Linked DNA regions of Schizosaccharomyces pombe. Changing the gene in region 2 together with the main gene of any one other region gives a genetic interaction. Each region holds a gene or a part of one and is shown on either strand. Other genes may lie near its edges. The genes, in order: SPOM_SPAC11D3.16C, SPOM_SPAC1B3.02C, sym1 and cit1.

Region 1 (3,410 bases), 4.8 Mb from region 2:
GGTACTTGAAAGAAGATACCCTGTCATTTTGAGAAAGTTTATCATTCGTGAAAATTCTGGCGGCGCAGGAAAGTACAAAGGTGGTGATGGTGTTATTCGCGATATTGAATTCAGAATTCCAGTTACCCTTTCCATACTTTCAGAGCGTCGTGCCTATCATCCATACGGTATGAAAGGAGGTAAAGATGCCGAATGCGGTAAAAACATTTGGATTCGAAAGGATATCTTACCTTCAGGAGAGCAACGAGTTCGACAAATCAACGTTGGCGGTAAAAACACATGCCATATGCAAGCTGGTGACCATATTGTTATTATGACACCTGGCGGTGGTGGATATGGACCCCCTTCTGAACGAGTAGATACTGTCAAGAAAGCTAATGGTGTCCAGCATTTCAGGGCTAATGGCACCATCTCACAATTACAGGAAATACAGCACACGAATTAGTTAGATAATTTATTAATGGTAATATAAATAGTTTGTCTTTTACATCTTAATTTCTTACTAATAACAAAGTTTTTAAAAATATTTGTATATAGTTGTCGAATATACTACAAGTGTTGGTGACAACAACAGGATAAAGTTCAATAATATATAATATTCTTGAATACTAAATCATTTGTAGAAAATGTATATAATTGTAATTAAAAAGCCGTATAGATTAAGATAGGATATATGAACGCGTTTCCAAAATTTGTGAAATAGTGAAATATAAAAATAAATGAGTAAATATTTAATGTAATAGGAAAAAAAAAACTGGAATGGACTGCTAAAGCATTAAGAACATAAAAATTAGGATGCATGCGAGGAATAGGATGAGCTTTCAACAACTCTAACAAAAAAGAGTAAAGTTGGGAAAAAAAGGGTAAAATCATCTGCGCTCGAAAAAAAAAGAAGCAATCCTACGAAGGCAATCACTTAAAAGAAAGCGAACTGGAACGTAAGAGAAACCTTTCATTTCAGCAATTCAATCTGATTGGAATGTTACATTTCCGAAAGCTCTCACAGATGGAGATTTAACATCCACAGGAAAGCAAGAAGAAGCAGTAACACCGGCAGTATCAAACTCAGTATCACCGTCTCTAAACCTTTCATCAGCATCGGGTTCCGGAGACGTTAAAGGCATTTGTAACGATTTCAAAACTACAGGTGGAAGTGGAAACCCATATGAATTCAGCTTTTGTTGGTAGTATTGAATATATGTGAAAATGTCGGGAGACTTATGGAGAATGAAGCGATTAAAGCTAATCGCAAGCACACACAACTGAGTGCGTGGAATATCAGTACACCTTTGGTGAAGAGCCTCGATGAATTGCTCCATGAGCGCACATTCCAAATCCTCGTCAACCTTCAAAGTAGTCATAAAAGCGTTATTTGGATTAAAGTTGGTTCCTTCGAAAGATTCTAACTATATATATTAATGTTTCGGAATAGGAAATTATCGTAAAAGACAAGATAATCCAGAGAAAAAAAATAAGTGATCGAATTATGAACGATCGATTGCAGTACAGATATTGAAAGGATTAATAGCTATTTGCCACTTAAAAGCAACAATGAAAGCAGGATAAAATGACTTTGAGACGTTGGTTCCAATCGGTTTTCTCACGCGAAGAGCCAGAAAAGAAAAATGAAGGAGGTAATTACTAAGTCTTGAACTTATATCAAAACCTGTAGTAAGTGTAAAGGAATAAAGATTTCAAGTTGCTAACACCTATCTGTAGAACCTAAAATCAGCTGGTTTGATACAATCTAGTTCCTTATCCTGAAGACGTAGGAATTGCAAGCTTTTTTATTTGCTAGATAACAGTGAATATCGATCTCACAAATGATAGAAATGGGTATTCGGATTCGTTAAACCAGTTTTACGCGTTGTTAAAAAATGCAAGAGAATAAAAGCTGTAAAACTAAATGAAACAAGTCAACAAAATGGAAGAACTTTTATATCTCTAATTTTTGAATGTTTAACTTCATCTACTTCCTAATTATCTTTCAGCCACAGTAGATACTGAAATTTTTTTTCACCGAATTTCCAGTCTAGATAAATTTTAGACAGCCTCGATTAGATAGGTACTAAACGCATGCTAGCCGAGACTAACTTGATAATTCGACGAAGATATATGTCTTCATATATCTCACTGTCTGAAAGCGTTTATGGAGTTGAAAATATAATATAGAGAATGAAGGAATGTCGAGAATATGATATTATTGAAAGTTTGATAATATACTTATGCACGTACATCCGCGGAGAATGAAGTGTTTTGCATACCCTTGGCGTTAGAATATACTTACTTACTACAGAATTCTCGGTATACAATTTCAATTGCAAGTAATTATTAGGCACAATAAAAGAAGTAGTTGCATATATGAAAAGTTGAATTATGAGTTATTTATTGAAATAGCAACGAATGACTTAATTTGCGCTAGTTTATCTGCTTGACAAATTCGCTAAGCGCAAGATAGACATGGTTTATCAGAAGCATCTGTTTAGGGTTAAAGAGAGATAATCGCGACAATTATTCATAATGCTTACTTGTCCTTTACCATACGAAAAAACATTTGGAAATAGTCTATTGCTGATGGTATTAAGCTTAAAAGTATAAATCTGTTGTGTAAAAAGGTGTTCATTAATTGTTGCGTCAAAATTTATCTAACATTTTGCAATTGAGCCACCTACCATAGTTTTTGCATAGGAAATCTGTTGTCTGACAGTGTTTCCCTTCCTCTTTAATATTTATTGTTTGTTTATACCCGTTTTTGGTTAACACTTTTTAAAATTTTATACTTATTTATGCGTTGGATTTTCTTTGGGAAAGTTTTGTATTGATTTCTCCACAAATATGGTAGATCATGTTTCTGAAAATTCAACGAATGTTTTGTCTGCTAAGAGGAAGTTGACTGAACCTTCATTGATTGATTCTAAGCGCGTCTTTCCTTGCGACCAGTGCGCCAAGCGTTTTACGAGGCATGAAAATCTAACTCGACATAAGGCTTGTCATAGTAAGGCTGAACCTATACCTTGTCCCTATTGTGAGATCAAATGCAAAAGAAAAGATTTACTCAAACGCCACATACAGCGATTCCATAATGATAAGTCTGTTATCGAAGAAGGCTCGAAAGATGTGCTGGACGTAAAGGCTGCCGCATCACAGCAAGAAGATAATATGAAAATTGTTTTACCTTCTTTCGATGCAATAGATGTGCCAAAAGCTTATCATCCAAGTTTGCGTCCTTATTTTACCATTCTTCCTTTGATTCCTTCGGATTTCTTAGAACATTATATCGAAGGTTACTTTGAGTGGTTTCATCCTGTTTTCCCTTTTATTCATCAAGCATCGTTTAATTCCGAGAATGTTGCTGCTTCATTTCTTCGCTCTCTAGTTGTGATTGCATGCTTGTGTACTGGTATAGAAAG
Region 2 (3,646 bases):
TTGAAAAAAGTATAAATATTTTTTGGTCTAATAAAAAGTCAAATTTTCTTCTGCTAGCATTTTTTTAATACAGTATGTTTCTAGAAGTTTCGTAGAAAATCTCTTCGCAGTAGGTTGCAAATATAAATCACCACCTTTTTAATAACTAAAACTAAATAGTTTGCACAGATCTGTATATTTCGTCTGCGTAAAATCGCTATTCATTCTTCTTCTTAAAGCAACTTTGTGGTGTGAATACACTGAGGAGACTGGCAGTGAAATATCATTACTTAAAAACGATCATTGTTTTTTTTTGCACGAAATGAGTACTTACGCCTATTTTAAAATTAGCATTGATGGTAAAATTCAACCAACAATCTACTTTGAACTTTTCGACAACGTAGTTCCCAAAACTGTCAAAAACTTTGCTTCGTTGTGTAATGGGTTTGAGAAGGATGGCCGTTGTTTAACCTACAAAGGTTCAAGGTTCCATCGAGTAATTAAGAACTTTATGCTTCAAGGTGGTGACTTTACTCGTGGTAATGGAACGGGTGGAGAAAGCATCTACGGCGAGAAGTTTGAGGACGAGAACTTTGAGCTCAAGCATGATAAGCCTTTCTTGCTTTCCATGGCCAATGCCGGCCCTAATACCAATGGATCTCAGTTCTTCATTACTACTGTTCCCACCCCTCATTTGGATGGAAAGCATGTTGTTTTTGGCAAGGTAATTCAAGGAAAATCTACTGTTCGTACCATTGAAAATTTGGAGACCAAAAATGACGATCCGGTTGTACCTGTTGTTATTGAAGAATGTGGAACTTGCACAAAGGATCAGATTGAGGCACCAAAGCCAGACGTTACTGGTGATTCTCTGGAAGAATTTCCTGATGATTACGAGGGTGATAAGTCCGAGACTGCCATTTTCAAAATTGCTAGCGACTTAAAGGGAATTGCTAACAAGCAATTTGCTCAGCAAAATTTGGATACAGCCGTTGCCAAATGGCAAAAAGCTTTGCGCTACCTAATGGAATACCCTGTTCCCAACGATGACTCTAAGGAATCCCCTGATTTCTGGAAAGAGTATAATGCTTTACGATACAGCATATACGCAAACCTTGCCCTTGTAGCTTTGAAGCAGAACAAACCTCAGGAAGCTATTCGAAACGCCAACATTGTAATTGAGGCCAGTAACTCTACTGAGTTAGAGAAACAGAAAGCATACTATCGTTTGGGTTGTGCTCAAGGTCTCTTGAAGAATTTTGAAGAATCAGAGAAAGCACTTGCTAAGGCTGGTAACGATCCTGCAATTTCAAAGAAGCTTGCAGAAATTCGTCAAAAGAAAAAAGATTATAAGAAGCGCCAACAAAAGGCCTATGCTAAGATGTTTCAGTAATTCCAAATTAATCGGCGTCACGTGAATGCTGAGAAGTCAATTATGTTTTACGTTAATTTCTAGTTAGTCAATGAGAGTTTTATCGCATTTACAAAATAACCATAGAAGGTCAACTACGTTGCGAGAAAGAGTGCAAGATTTACTTATGGAGGATCTGGCTTCGTTTGTAAGACTGGTATGCCTACGTTTGCGTTTCATACAGCAAAGTATCATCATGAATAGAAAGAACTCTAGAAACAAATGTGCATCAGTAAACTCAATAAGAATATCATATTTAAACATTTAATTCATTAAAATTAAATAAGACCGTCTCTTACCAAGTGTCGAAATTACATGAGTTTCCGCATTACCCTTCCTAAGGATGAGAGTGCTAATGTGAACCCGCTAATACGAATCTGCAGTTTGCAAAACGTAAACAGATTCTGCAAATGGGTAAAAGAAAAGCAAAAGCAAAAGTGAAACCCAAAAGAAGGGCACCCCCATTAGATACGACTGTGAGTTATAGTTTAATTACGAAATTTACTAACTTTACTAGTTTACGTGCCTATTTTGCAACCACGAAAAAAGTGTGAGCTGTAGTCTGTATGCTTATTAACTACTTTCATTTTTTTTAACACTTTGATAGTGATAAACAATCAGGAGTTGGAAATCTACACTGCAAAATTTGTGGTCAGAGTCATCAATGTCTAATTACAGGTATGAAAGAGGTGTTTTATTTCAATAGCGGCACGTAAATTATTACGATTAATATTGCGGTTAATTTCTTTTATATCGTCTCTTTATCTTCTTATTTCTTGTTCTTTTATGAAATTTTCTTGTACACTTATTTACTAACATTATCAAGCTCTTTCGGCACCCATCGACGTATACAGCGACTGGATTGATGCTTGTGATGCTGTTGCAAATCAAGCTAAAGAGGTTGATAATATAAATGATCAAGAAGCCTATTCCCCTGAAGCAGCTTATGAGGAAGAAAAGGAATGATTTTTTGCTATTGGCCTAACTTGCAAAAGGAAGATTCTTTTCAGAGCTTAAATGTTGAAAGTTTCCGTTCATTTATGGTGATCTTATTTTCGTTGATGCTCAGTCGTTTCAATTAAGAGATTTCTCTGAAGCGATAAGAAGGTATTAACTACATTGCAATGAACAAGACGCTGTATTTGGCAAAACCGGACGAGCTTAGTGTATACAAATCTAGGCATGCTCTTGTATATATTTGTCCTTTTTAAAGACGTCGAACATACGAATTTCGAGATTCCATCTGATGAACCGACAATTGGACGATAGTGTTAAGCTTATTTGTTGGTATTCGGATGTACCATCAATATGGGTGTGATATCTTGCTCATTGGCAAGATAGCCATTTCATTGCTTTGTTTTTGGTTTGGTAGAATCGCTGTTCACTATGACAGGCTAAGAATTACGAGTGCCTAGAGTGTGGTTGACTTCGACCTTGTACTTATTGTATTCTCCATGTACAAAAAATGTCTAGAATGAAAGAGATATGAAAATATGTTCATGTGTTCTTACTGCATTTGATTTAAAAATCCTTACAATACAACTCATTTCTTGGTTTCTTGTGAATACAGTTGGATGAATTGAGAATTACAAGTAAAAAACATTGAAATCCAATTAAGATTGTAAGCTGCATGGAGTCCAATTGTATGAATGTGTGCTTCAAAAATTTGTACTGTCTTTCTCATTCTTAAATATAAGCAGTAATTCATTTAAAAACATCAACTTGCCCTAAAATATGTTCAATAGTTAATTGATATTCTTATTTAATTTTGCCAAGCCTGCTAGAGTAGAAATCTTTTACTGCGCTAAGTAACGCATTAATCATAATTATGTTATTATGAAATGATGTTGTAAATCTTTATTTATGTTTAACGAAATATACTAAGGTTGATAAAACTCATTTTGCTATTGATAGCTTAAAAGCAAATGTGTTATTGTGCTTTTACTTTTTACCATTTACTTGGTAAACAACTTGATAGGTAGATATTTAAGCATACATCGTCAAAAAGATGTCGCTGGTACCTGAGCATGGAAATGTGTACGTACTAAATCAGACAAATCAATTAAAAGGGTTGTTTACCATCATTCGTGATAAAACGAAACCTCGTGTATGCGCGTTCAGTTTACAACAGATTACTGAGTCAAGGTCTAAGAACTAATTGAAATGAATGTGTTAATATGTCCAAGAAATTTTAGCTTTTTCCTCTATTAATGGGGAGATAAATGTTTATCAGTGGATGATAGGAAGCATTCATTA
Region 3 (3,923 bases), 2.6 Mb from region 2:
AACGTCTTATAAACGAAACTGGCAAAAGATGTAAATTTAAGGATTGTAAACACAATACCAATTACTGAAAATGCAGTTACTACTGCACCACAGCAAGATTTGTTTGCAAGAACTAAAAGTCTATTAGTATTCTAAATATTATACCCTAAAACACAAATATTAGTGTATATACCTTCTCCGTCCATATTGCAAGTGAAGTAATGTAATGTTCTACGTAAATTGCTAGCCTCTTAAGATAAAATGGCATCCGTCGACAAGTGTATACTGAAACTTTGCTATAATTCCTTATAGGATATTAATGATGATAAAGGAAGTTTGATACTTTTTGTTTCTTTTGATAAATTCAAGAGATTGTAGACACCTCAGTTGAGTAGCTGAAGAGGTATTTACTTCTAAAGATATTAGTACATACAGATTTTGTAATTTCATCTCTTTCGTATTTGTAACTTGTAGGGCTAACTCCCACCACCAGTGAATTACCATGAGAATAAAGTAACTAGGTGAAATTTGACACGGTGTTTATAAAGTAGTGATTTAAAAAATTGGAATTCGGTAATATTAAATATACTATTAACGAGATTATTTGGATAAAATCTGATCTATTGATATTAGCTCTCAGCGTCGATATGAAAAAACAATTTTTTTTCATTAAATACAATCTAACTATATGCAAGATATTTGCATAATTTGCAGCGAGTGAAACTAAATGAAATAATAGGAAGATCCATATATTAATCCAAGTTTATTAAATAACATAAGAGCATACCGATCGAAAACAAGCCTTAAGGGAGAATTAAGATAATTGGAATAAAATTTTGAACATATTAACAAACGAATAAACTTCAAATGAAGTCGTAAGCCCGACTGAGTAAAGGTAAAGAAAATTTGCAAAGTTGAATGTGAAATATAAATTTGCAAATACGATAGAAGAAAATAATAGCCGAATTGCTCCCTACCTTCTCATACGTCTGCATTCGGGGAACTATTTTTCAAACTTAAGTAAGCTGTCCAAACCATCGAAACAGCGTTGGCAAAAATCACCTGTAAGACCAAAGGGACGAAGGTAAAATTGAAAAGCTGTACGGCCGGCCAAAGTATATAATTAGCCTAAATATGTTAGCAAATGACTATAATAATTTAAGGCAGCTGGTGCAAATGTCAAAGAGATTCCTTACTTTTAATGTAGGCCAGTAATGTTTCCGGAAGTAGCTTTTCAACCTTTCATAAGACTTGCATTCGGTGATACCCTAAAAACTGTTAATTCTGATGCTTTATTTGTTGATAATAGTAGTACCATGAATAAAAAGAAAAACACTATGCCTAATGGAGCAAAGATAAATTGATCTAAAGCCACTCGCAAAACTATGGCAATAAAAGGATTCTCAGTTTGAATAACATTGGATAAGGCAACAAACCATCGGAACTAGATTCGCGTTAGCATAAAAAATTGGTGTACACATAATCAAACTTGGTATCAAAAGTCATTGTGAACTTTGATACTGAATTTAATCATTAAGAGTAGTTTTTCTTACTTGGATAGGAGTAAGGCATAGACCTGTTCAATTATGTTAGTATCTTGCATAGAAAGAGGGAGAAATAACAAGGTTCACTTTATAAGGTTTCAAAGTAATGCAAACCTTTAACGTACCATAGGCAGCATAACGAATTGTTCTATGGACATCTAACTTTGAAGTACTAGCTGGTAAGAGGATTGTATTCCCATATTTCTCGAGAGATACGTCTCTTTTATTGCGAAACTTTAGCAGTTTGTACGAGTCCAACGCCTGAGCTAACAAGTCAGAAAGAGCTGTTAAAGACGCGTTTAGTAATCCCAATGTGAGTAGAGGCTGCAATTCATATTTGTCGTTGAAGCGACTCACAAAGAAAAAGAAGAACAAAACACATATTAATAATCCGATTACTCTAATTATCGTAAGTATTTATTTAAATACACAGAAATAATCAAACATACATTGATTTCGCTATGAACATCGCGTACACCTTTAAAGGAAATAGAAGAAATACCACTAGTAAGTTATTGAGAGTGATATCAATATAGCGTTGAAGAGCTGCTTTGCAATGTTAAAACCGATGGTGACGATAGTTATAAGGCAAAGAAATCATTAAAATGAAAAGATTATAACAATAATTGTATATTTAATTAATTAATTTCGTTATTTCTTTATTCTTTTATTTCTTTGTTTAATTCTTTTATTGTTGTTTTATTTGATCAAATCGCTAAGCTGTAATAATCTGTGTCAAATATACTCAAATTATTCATTTTATCAAATTTTTTTTCTATCGAATGAGATTTGGTTTATCTTGTGGGATATTGTTTATTTCATAATTTCAACAATACCCTGAGAAATTCAACCTTTTAACTTTATGATTTTGTTTAATGATATATTTTTATGAAAATCACTTGCAGCGCTTTAAGCAATTTACTTACTCTTTCAAATCGATTAACTAAAAATAATGGATATTCGTTAGACTAAACGCATTCCATATAAATTGTTATACAACTAAATAAATTCTTTTTATTTTTTTTCTTCCTTTTAAATTCACTTGCTTTACATGTGAAACAGTAACTGAATTTAAGTGCGAATTTTTAATAACTTGAATTAAGTATTCTAAAACAAAAAAAAAAAAAATACCATACAGTTCATAAAAGTAAGATATCCGATTTTTGAATGTAATGAATAGATGGTCAAATGTGTATGCTCTTAATTCATAAAGTTCAAAAATAATTTAAAGCATCATTTGGCACAATAAGAGTCAGAGAAAGAGCTTATTAATTTACATATAAATTTCTTTAAAGAAACAACCGTGTTCTACTAAGACATAACTTTTTAAGTACAATAATAATTCACTTGTTTACGTCTATAAACTCAAGCTCGCTAAAACATTTCGTTAAAAAACTTAACACATATTACTCAAGTTGCGTTCCATTGCATTAAGCTACTAGCTCTTCACAGTATCACCCTACACCATGAATTTACAAATTGGGATATATTAGCCTCCAAAAATTAATTTGCTGCAATTATCAGTTCTTATTCAATTGCTAATTTATCATCCTTAGAGACAGAAAGAAATTACGAAATTGAACTTATTTTCCTTATTTCAATTGAAAATATCTAAAATTCCAAACTCATTTTTCAAACAACTTTCTAAATTTTCACAATGGATTACTTCTTTAAAAGTCCAATCGACGTTGATCTTCATTTGGACAATGAAGAAGAACGAACGTTCGTTGACTATGAGTTTGAACAGGGCCGAAAAGACAAGGCGCCAATTTACGAAAGTGATGAGACTGTGAAAGGAACAGTAAGTGCAAACGTGCACGTTCAGTGTATTTTGAAATAAATAATCTGTTGCAACAGCTTGGATTTTTATATGTTTGTACGACTAACGACGGTATAGGTGATGATTCGTTTAAAAGATGGCCGCAAGTTGGACCACGATGGTGTGAAAATTGAGTTTATTGGACAGATCGAAAATACTTACGACAAAGGAAATATTCATGAATTTACTAGAAGCGTACAGGAGTTAGCTTCTCCTGGGGAAATGAGGCATGCCCAAATGTTTGAATTTGAGTTCAAGCATGTTGATAAACCTTATGAATCCTATATTGGCAAAAACGTTAAACTCCGCTATATATGTCGCGTTACGGTTTCCAGAAAGATGAAAGATGTCATTCGTGAAAAAGATCTGTGGGTCTATCGATTTGAGAATGAACCAGAGACAAACAGCTTAATCAGAATGGATGTGGGCATTGATGAATGCCTACACATAGAATTTGAATACAGCAAAAACAAATATCATTTAAAAGATGTTATTATTGGGAAAATCTACTTTATCCTTGTACGCATCAAGGTTCAGCGGATGGAAGTCAGTATCATACGGCGTGAAACGATCGGGACATC
Region 4 (4,894 bases), 2.6 Mb from region 2:
GTCTTAATACAAATTACTCCAAATCATATTTTTTACTAATTATATTCTGCTTAATACAGCAATTCGTAAAATTGAAACAAATTGCGAAGCAATTAGAAAACTATCTTAAACCAGCCTAATGAAAACTAGTGAAATACGGTAGTTCAGGAATTTTTATTCATATATATATCTCTTCCATTTAGAAATTTTATCTTTTTCTATGCCACATACATAGCACGATTGGAGGCTTTGGAATTTGAGTCTCGGTGAATCAAAGTTCTTTGGTCTTGTGAATCCACGTGCAACTAAAAGGAGTGCTAACAGTGACTTTTGGTACGCTGTGTATATGCAGAAAAAGATATTAGACACCAATTAAGCCGGGACGAAAGCCTAATTGGATTGCTTTCGTCTGACTATGCGTGTTTTACATTCATACCAAATTAAATAATTTAGCTAAAATATATAGAAAGTTACCAGATGATGAGAAGGCCTTTTGAAATAACAATTTGCTTACTGAAAACTTATACGTTAGACTTTTTAAAGCCATGAATACAACAGAGTTAAGTAAATTCATTGTTTGCTATACCAATTTTGAAATTTATTATTAATATTATTGTGTTTGCTGATATATTTGCGGATATTCAATTTTTAAATGCAACGGGAATTGACAACACCAACACAGTAAAAACTAAGTAGGAAATAAAACATTTATACAAATAATGAATGAAAAAAAAAGCGCCGACATAATTTTCATTGTAAGAAATAAGATAATCATTTCGTTTCAACCATCTTCTTTAATGCTTCAGTAGAGAAAGACTTAGGACGCTCAATAGGTAGTCCCAAAGCTCGATCCCAGATGAGTTGAGAGGCAACACCGAGTGTTCGAGAAACACCGAACAAAACGGTGTAGAAGCTTTGTTCTTTCAAGCCATAATATTGCAAAAGAACACCAGAATGTGAGTCAACGTTGGGATATGGATTTTTGGTTTTTCCATGCTCTGTAAGAACACCTGGAACTATTTCATACAGACGGCTTACAAGTTGAAACATGGGATCTTTAGGAAGATGCTCAAGTGCAAATTCACGCTGAGCCGTATAGCGAGGATCTGTCTTACGAAGTACGGCATGACCATAACCAGGAACAACACGACCAGAATTCAAAAGCTTCCAGAGATAAGACTTGATTGTTTCTTCAGATAAATCATCACCGATTTCTTTCTTCATTGTAATCAAAAAGTTCAAAACTTCTTGGTTGGCAAGACCATGAAGGGGACCAGCAAGTCCATTTAAGGAGGCAGCCATCGACAAAAAGGGTGAAGAAAGAGCAGAACCTACCAAATGACCGGTGTGAGCAGATACATTACCACCTTCGTGGTCAGCATGGATGGTCAAATAAAGACGCATAAGCTCCACAAATTCCTCATTGTTAGCAAAGCCCAGAACATTAGCAAAATTGTACGAATGGTCCTTATCCATTTGAATAGGAGCAACAACACCATCACGGTACAAATTGCGGTAGATACGACCGGCAATTGGAACGGTCTTGGCAATCAAATCCATGCAGTCTTCATATTCATACTTCCAATAATCATGCTTGTTCATTCCACGCTCATATGCTTTAGCAAATGCAGAATCGTGCTCAAGTGCAGTAACAGCGAGAGAGAATTGGGCCATTGGATGAAGGGTAGGAGGGCAACGGTCAATGAGTTCTTCAACAAATTTGGGTAACTGAGAACGGGCGGCCCAGTCAGCGGAAAGCGCCTGCACTTGACTCAGAGTAGGAATTTCCCCGGTAACTAAAAGCCAGAACAAAGATTCAGGAAGAGGCTGTTTTCCGTTGGGAGAAGAAGGAAGTAATTTTTGGCATTCCGGGATAGTATAACCACGGAATCGGATACCCTCGTTAGGGTCTAAAACAGAGCCTTCCCATATTAAAGAACGAACCCCACGAGCACCACCATACATTTGATTGATAGTTACCTCACCAATGACATCTTGGCCATGTTCTGCGCGAAATTTTTTGATTTCTGCTTGTTTTTCAGGAATAAGCTCAGCTAACCGATCCTTTAAGGAAGAGGAACGAGTTGAGTAAGAAGATGTGAAAAGGGGGTTTAATTGACGGGAACGAAGCGACGCTTGAGAAAGTAACGACGAAGCAAGTCGTCGAGTACTAGCTAATCTTGTGTTTGTCATAAAACGAGGTGCGTTTAATATAATCATCCTAATAATTTAAAAGTTAGTAAAAAGTAAAACTTGGGAAATAAAAGAAGGCGTGAAATGCGGGAAAAGCTCCTTTGTAATAATATGAGAGAACGAAGGATATCAGATCAAGGAGATAGTGAAGGCCGATTCGCAAATTTAACAAACAGAAAAAAAGAAATAAGCAATAAGAATAGAAAGTCGGTTAATGATAATATCTAAGAGAACTATCGTGAAAAATAGAAAAAAAATTGACTATCAATAATCGCCAATGAGAAAAGTCACTTTAATTTCAAACAAGCTAAAGACGGGGTTTGTTATCAAAAATCAATAATTAATTTTCAATTCAACTAGTGTGCTTAATCTGAGCACACTCAGATGGGTCATAGATATAGACAGGAACCACAAATTTAGTAGCGTAGTCATTATCAATAACGGCATCTAATTTTAAATAGAAAAAAAAATTGAGCTTTTGAAGACCTTTTCTATCCTCTTCAAAGTAAGAGAAATGAACCCATTTTGAGTGAAAATTTGCATACGCTATGTATAGGATTGACCCCAAGATAAGCGCAGATGAAAAAAGTCCTAGCATTGGCAGACATGAATTAGAGCATCGAGTAAACTATATTTCCAACCAAAAATATAAGACTTTCTTTCAAGAAAACCGACATTTCGTAAGACCAAAAGGCCAACGAAACGCAAAATCAAAATTATCACAAAGGAGGATTTTCTAAACTATGCACTAGAGAATATCCTACTGCCTCTCGACAAGATCAAATCTCAAACACCTTTAGGCTTGCACTTACATGAAAAAGGGTATTACAATGCACCGATATTGGCTAAGGAAAGAATAATTGCTGGGATGGGGGACTATTTATTCGGTAAACCTGAGTACCATTAGCATGAACGGAGGGGAGGGTGCGACGTCAGTGCCCCATGATTCTGTCCATTCAACAACTAGCCAAAACCGAGGAGAGGAACAACCTTAGCATATAGACTCGCTTCTGATGTCGGTGAATACGAAATACAAAACCACTTAAAATTCAGTAAAGTGAAGAAGGTTTGTGGAGAATGACTTGGGCAACAAAGCCGAAATCCACCAAACAGTAAGAAAAAATTGTAATGAAGAAAGAAAGCCTTATTTATCACATATTTACTAATGAACTTTAGCCTACAACTTACAAACCCGTTGAAAAGTCAAATCTCACTTTTATGATTGGGACAGGCAACCTTGCATGGAAACCCGGTTCATCGTCGCAGGAAAAAATAATATTTTATTATTTAGATGTACTTTGATCAAAAATAAATTAAGGAGTAAGAAAATTTGAAAAGAGGCGTATCCGATGTTTCCATAATTGTTGAATGATACAAATTAGACTACATAGATTGATATTATATCCTTTCAACAATGAGAGAAACGAGATGGGTATGAATAAGTATTGATTTCCTACCAACAAACAATTTGTACATTTTATGCTTTGAAAACGTACTGATCTACATTACCATAGTGTCTTGTATTGTTGGCCTTGCAAGTGAAGTGCTATTTACTGTTACTATCAATAAACGCATCTTTGGTTCTTGGTTACCATACTTTGTGCTACAAATTTTATCTCTCATAAGTTTTTTTTCTTTTTTTTTTTTTTTTTTGAAATTTTAAATAGATAACAAGCCGAATTTCGAGAATTTGCTTGTCTTGATCAGGTAAAAAAGGGTAGTTGCTCCGATCGATCGAGCTAATGATATCAGTAAAGATCAAAATTTAGGAGAACTTCCGCGGTAGCGGATTTCTCAGTCAAACATAGTACTACAATAGATACAGAAAAGAATTGCTTAGCTATGCAAATATTTACTCAATGAACGTTGACTGAAGTAGCTTCATCTCTTGCATGTGCGTTACGGCAATGCATATGCATGTATCGGGAGTGAATAAATGAATAGAGATGTTGACAAGCGACAAGAAAATAATTTTTATAGGTAAGAAAGTTTTTGATAACTTTTTCTAACTGCTCAACCATTGCTATTGACGAAGTTTAGATGGATGTTTTTTTCTTAGGATTGCTAGTGGTAATCGCTATTTTCACTAACGCTAAGCGTTACAGCTCGTTTCGCTTTTTATTCCCATCCAAAAACTTGGACCCCAATGAGACAAAGTGGGGGTGGAATATTAGAATTGCGACTTTTAGATCGTTACTGAATACCATTCCAAGTATCCCACATTGGAGAACCATGTGGGGAACCGTTCGAGTTGGTATTGTACATACCCCGTCGGCCAAGGTAAGAGAGCGTGTAGACTGTAGTTACTACTTTTTGGCTAGAGGATTCAAAACTCAAAAATAGCTCTTAAAAATAAATATAGAAATGAATTAATTCAAAAACATATAATTTTTCTTCGGGATTCCTTTTTTTTACAACAACAGTCATTTCAAGTGCTTTGACTTGACAGACGCAACATAAATAAATAAATAGAACACTTTGATGCAAAGTATCGAATTCCAACATATCTCTCTAGACTGCTTTTCTATTAAAACCATGACTACTAGTGTTTCCATATAAAAATATAAAGAGATCCATCAACAACTAATACGTACATATTAGATTTTGCATTCCCAAATTGCTTCGTTATTTCACATACACCCATTTATTTAAAACGAGTTAAGAGTAACATCATTTGAAATCAACTGAAACATTTATATAAGCTGATTTTTCACAATCTTGC

Evidence for each region.
Region 1: mutations in SPOM_SPAC1B3.02C (region 2) and SPOM_SPAC11D3.16C together harm fitness less than expected from each alone (positive genetic interaction), as found in Schizosaccharomyces pombe (one large-scale study listed by BioGRID).
Region 3: mutations in SPOM_SPAC1B3.02C (region 2) and sym1 together harm fitness less than expected from each alone (positive genetic interaction), as found in Schizosaccharomyces pombe (one large-scale study listed by BioGRID).
Region 4: mutations in SPOM_SPAC1B3.02C (region 2) and cit1 together harm fitness less than expected from each alone (positive genetic interaction), as found in Schizosaccharomyces pombe (one large-scale study listed by BioGRID).

Annotation. Positions count from the first base shown.
Region 1 is NC_003424.3:139,840-143,249, forward strand, and holds SPOM_SPAC11D3.16C (uncharacterized protein), read right to left. Parts: upstream 1,688-3,410; 5' UTR 1,362-1,687; coding exon 966-1,361; 3' UTR 542-965; downstream 1-541. Other genes in the region: SPOM_SPAC11D3.15 (ATP-hydrolizing 5-oxoprolinase), read left to right, coding at 1-445; SPOM_SPAC11D3.17 (DNA-binding transcription factor, zf-fungal binuclear cluster type), read left to right, coding at 2,836-3,410.
Region 2 is NC_003424.3:4,927,671-4,931,316, reverse strand, and holds SPOM_SPAC1B3.02C (Elf1 family transcription elongation factor), read left to right. Parts: upstream 1-1,771; 5' UTR 1,772-1,800; coding exon 1,801-1,866; intron 1,867-1,907; coding exon 1,908-1,954; intron 1,955-1,997; coding exon 1,998-2,068; intron 2,069-2,216; coding exon 2,217-2,356; 3' UTR 2,357-3,145; downstream 3,146-3,646. Other genes in the region: GTPase GUF1, read left to right, coding at 1-4; cyclophilin family peptidyl-prolyl cis-trans isomerase Wis2, read left to right, coding at 302-1,372; SPOM_SPAC1B3.01C (uracil phosphoribosyltransferase), read left to right, coding at 3,399-3,497.
Region 3 is NC_003424.3:2,278,492-2,282,414, reverse strand, and holds sym1 (PMP22 family protein 2), read right to left. Parts: upstream 2,079-3,923; 5' UTR 1,993-2,078; coding exon 1,973-1,992; intron 1,924-1,972; coding exon 1,649-1,923; intron 1,556-1,648; coding exon 1,533-1,555; intron 1,424-1,532; coding exon 1,295-1,423; intron 1,248-1,294; coding exon 1,176-1,247; intron 1,108-1,175; coding exon 961-1,107; 3' UTR 568-960; downstream 1-567. Other genes in the region: ifa38 (ketoreductase), read right to left, coding at 1-112, 173-185; retromer complex arrestin related endocytic adaptor ubunit Vps26, read left to right, coding at 3,181-3,324, 3,421-3,923.
Region 4 is NC_003424.3:2,325,953-2,330,846, reverse strand, and holds cit1 (citrate synthase Cit1), read right to left. Parts: upstream 3,020-4,894; 5' UTR 2,987-3,019; coding exon 2,985-2,986; intron 2,201-2,984; coding exon 751-2,200; 3' UTR 558-750; downstream 1-557. Other genes in the region: SPOM_SPAC6C3.03C (uncharacterized protein), read left to right, coding at 4,213-4,515.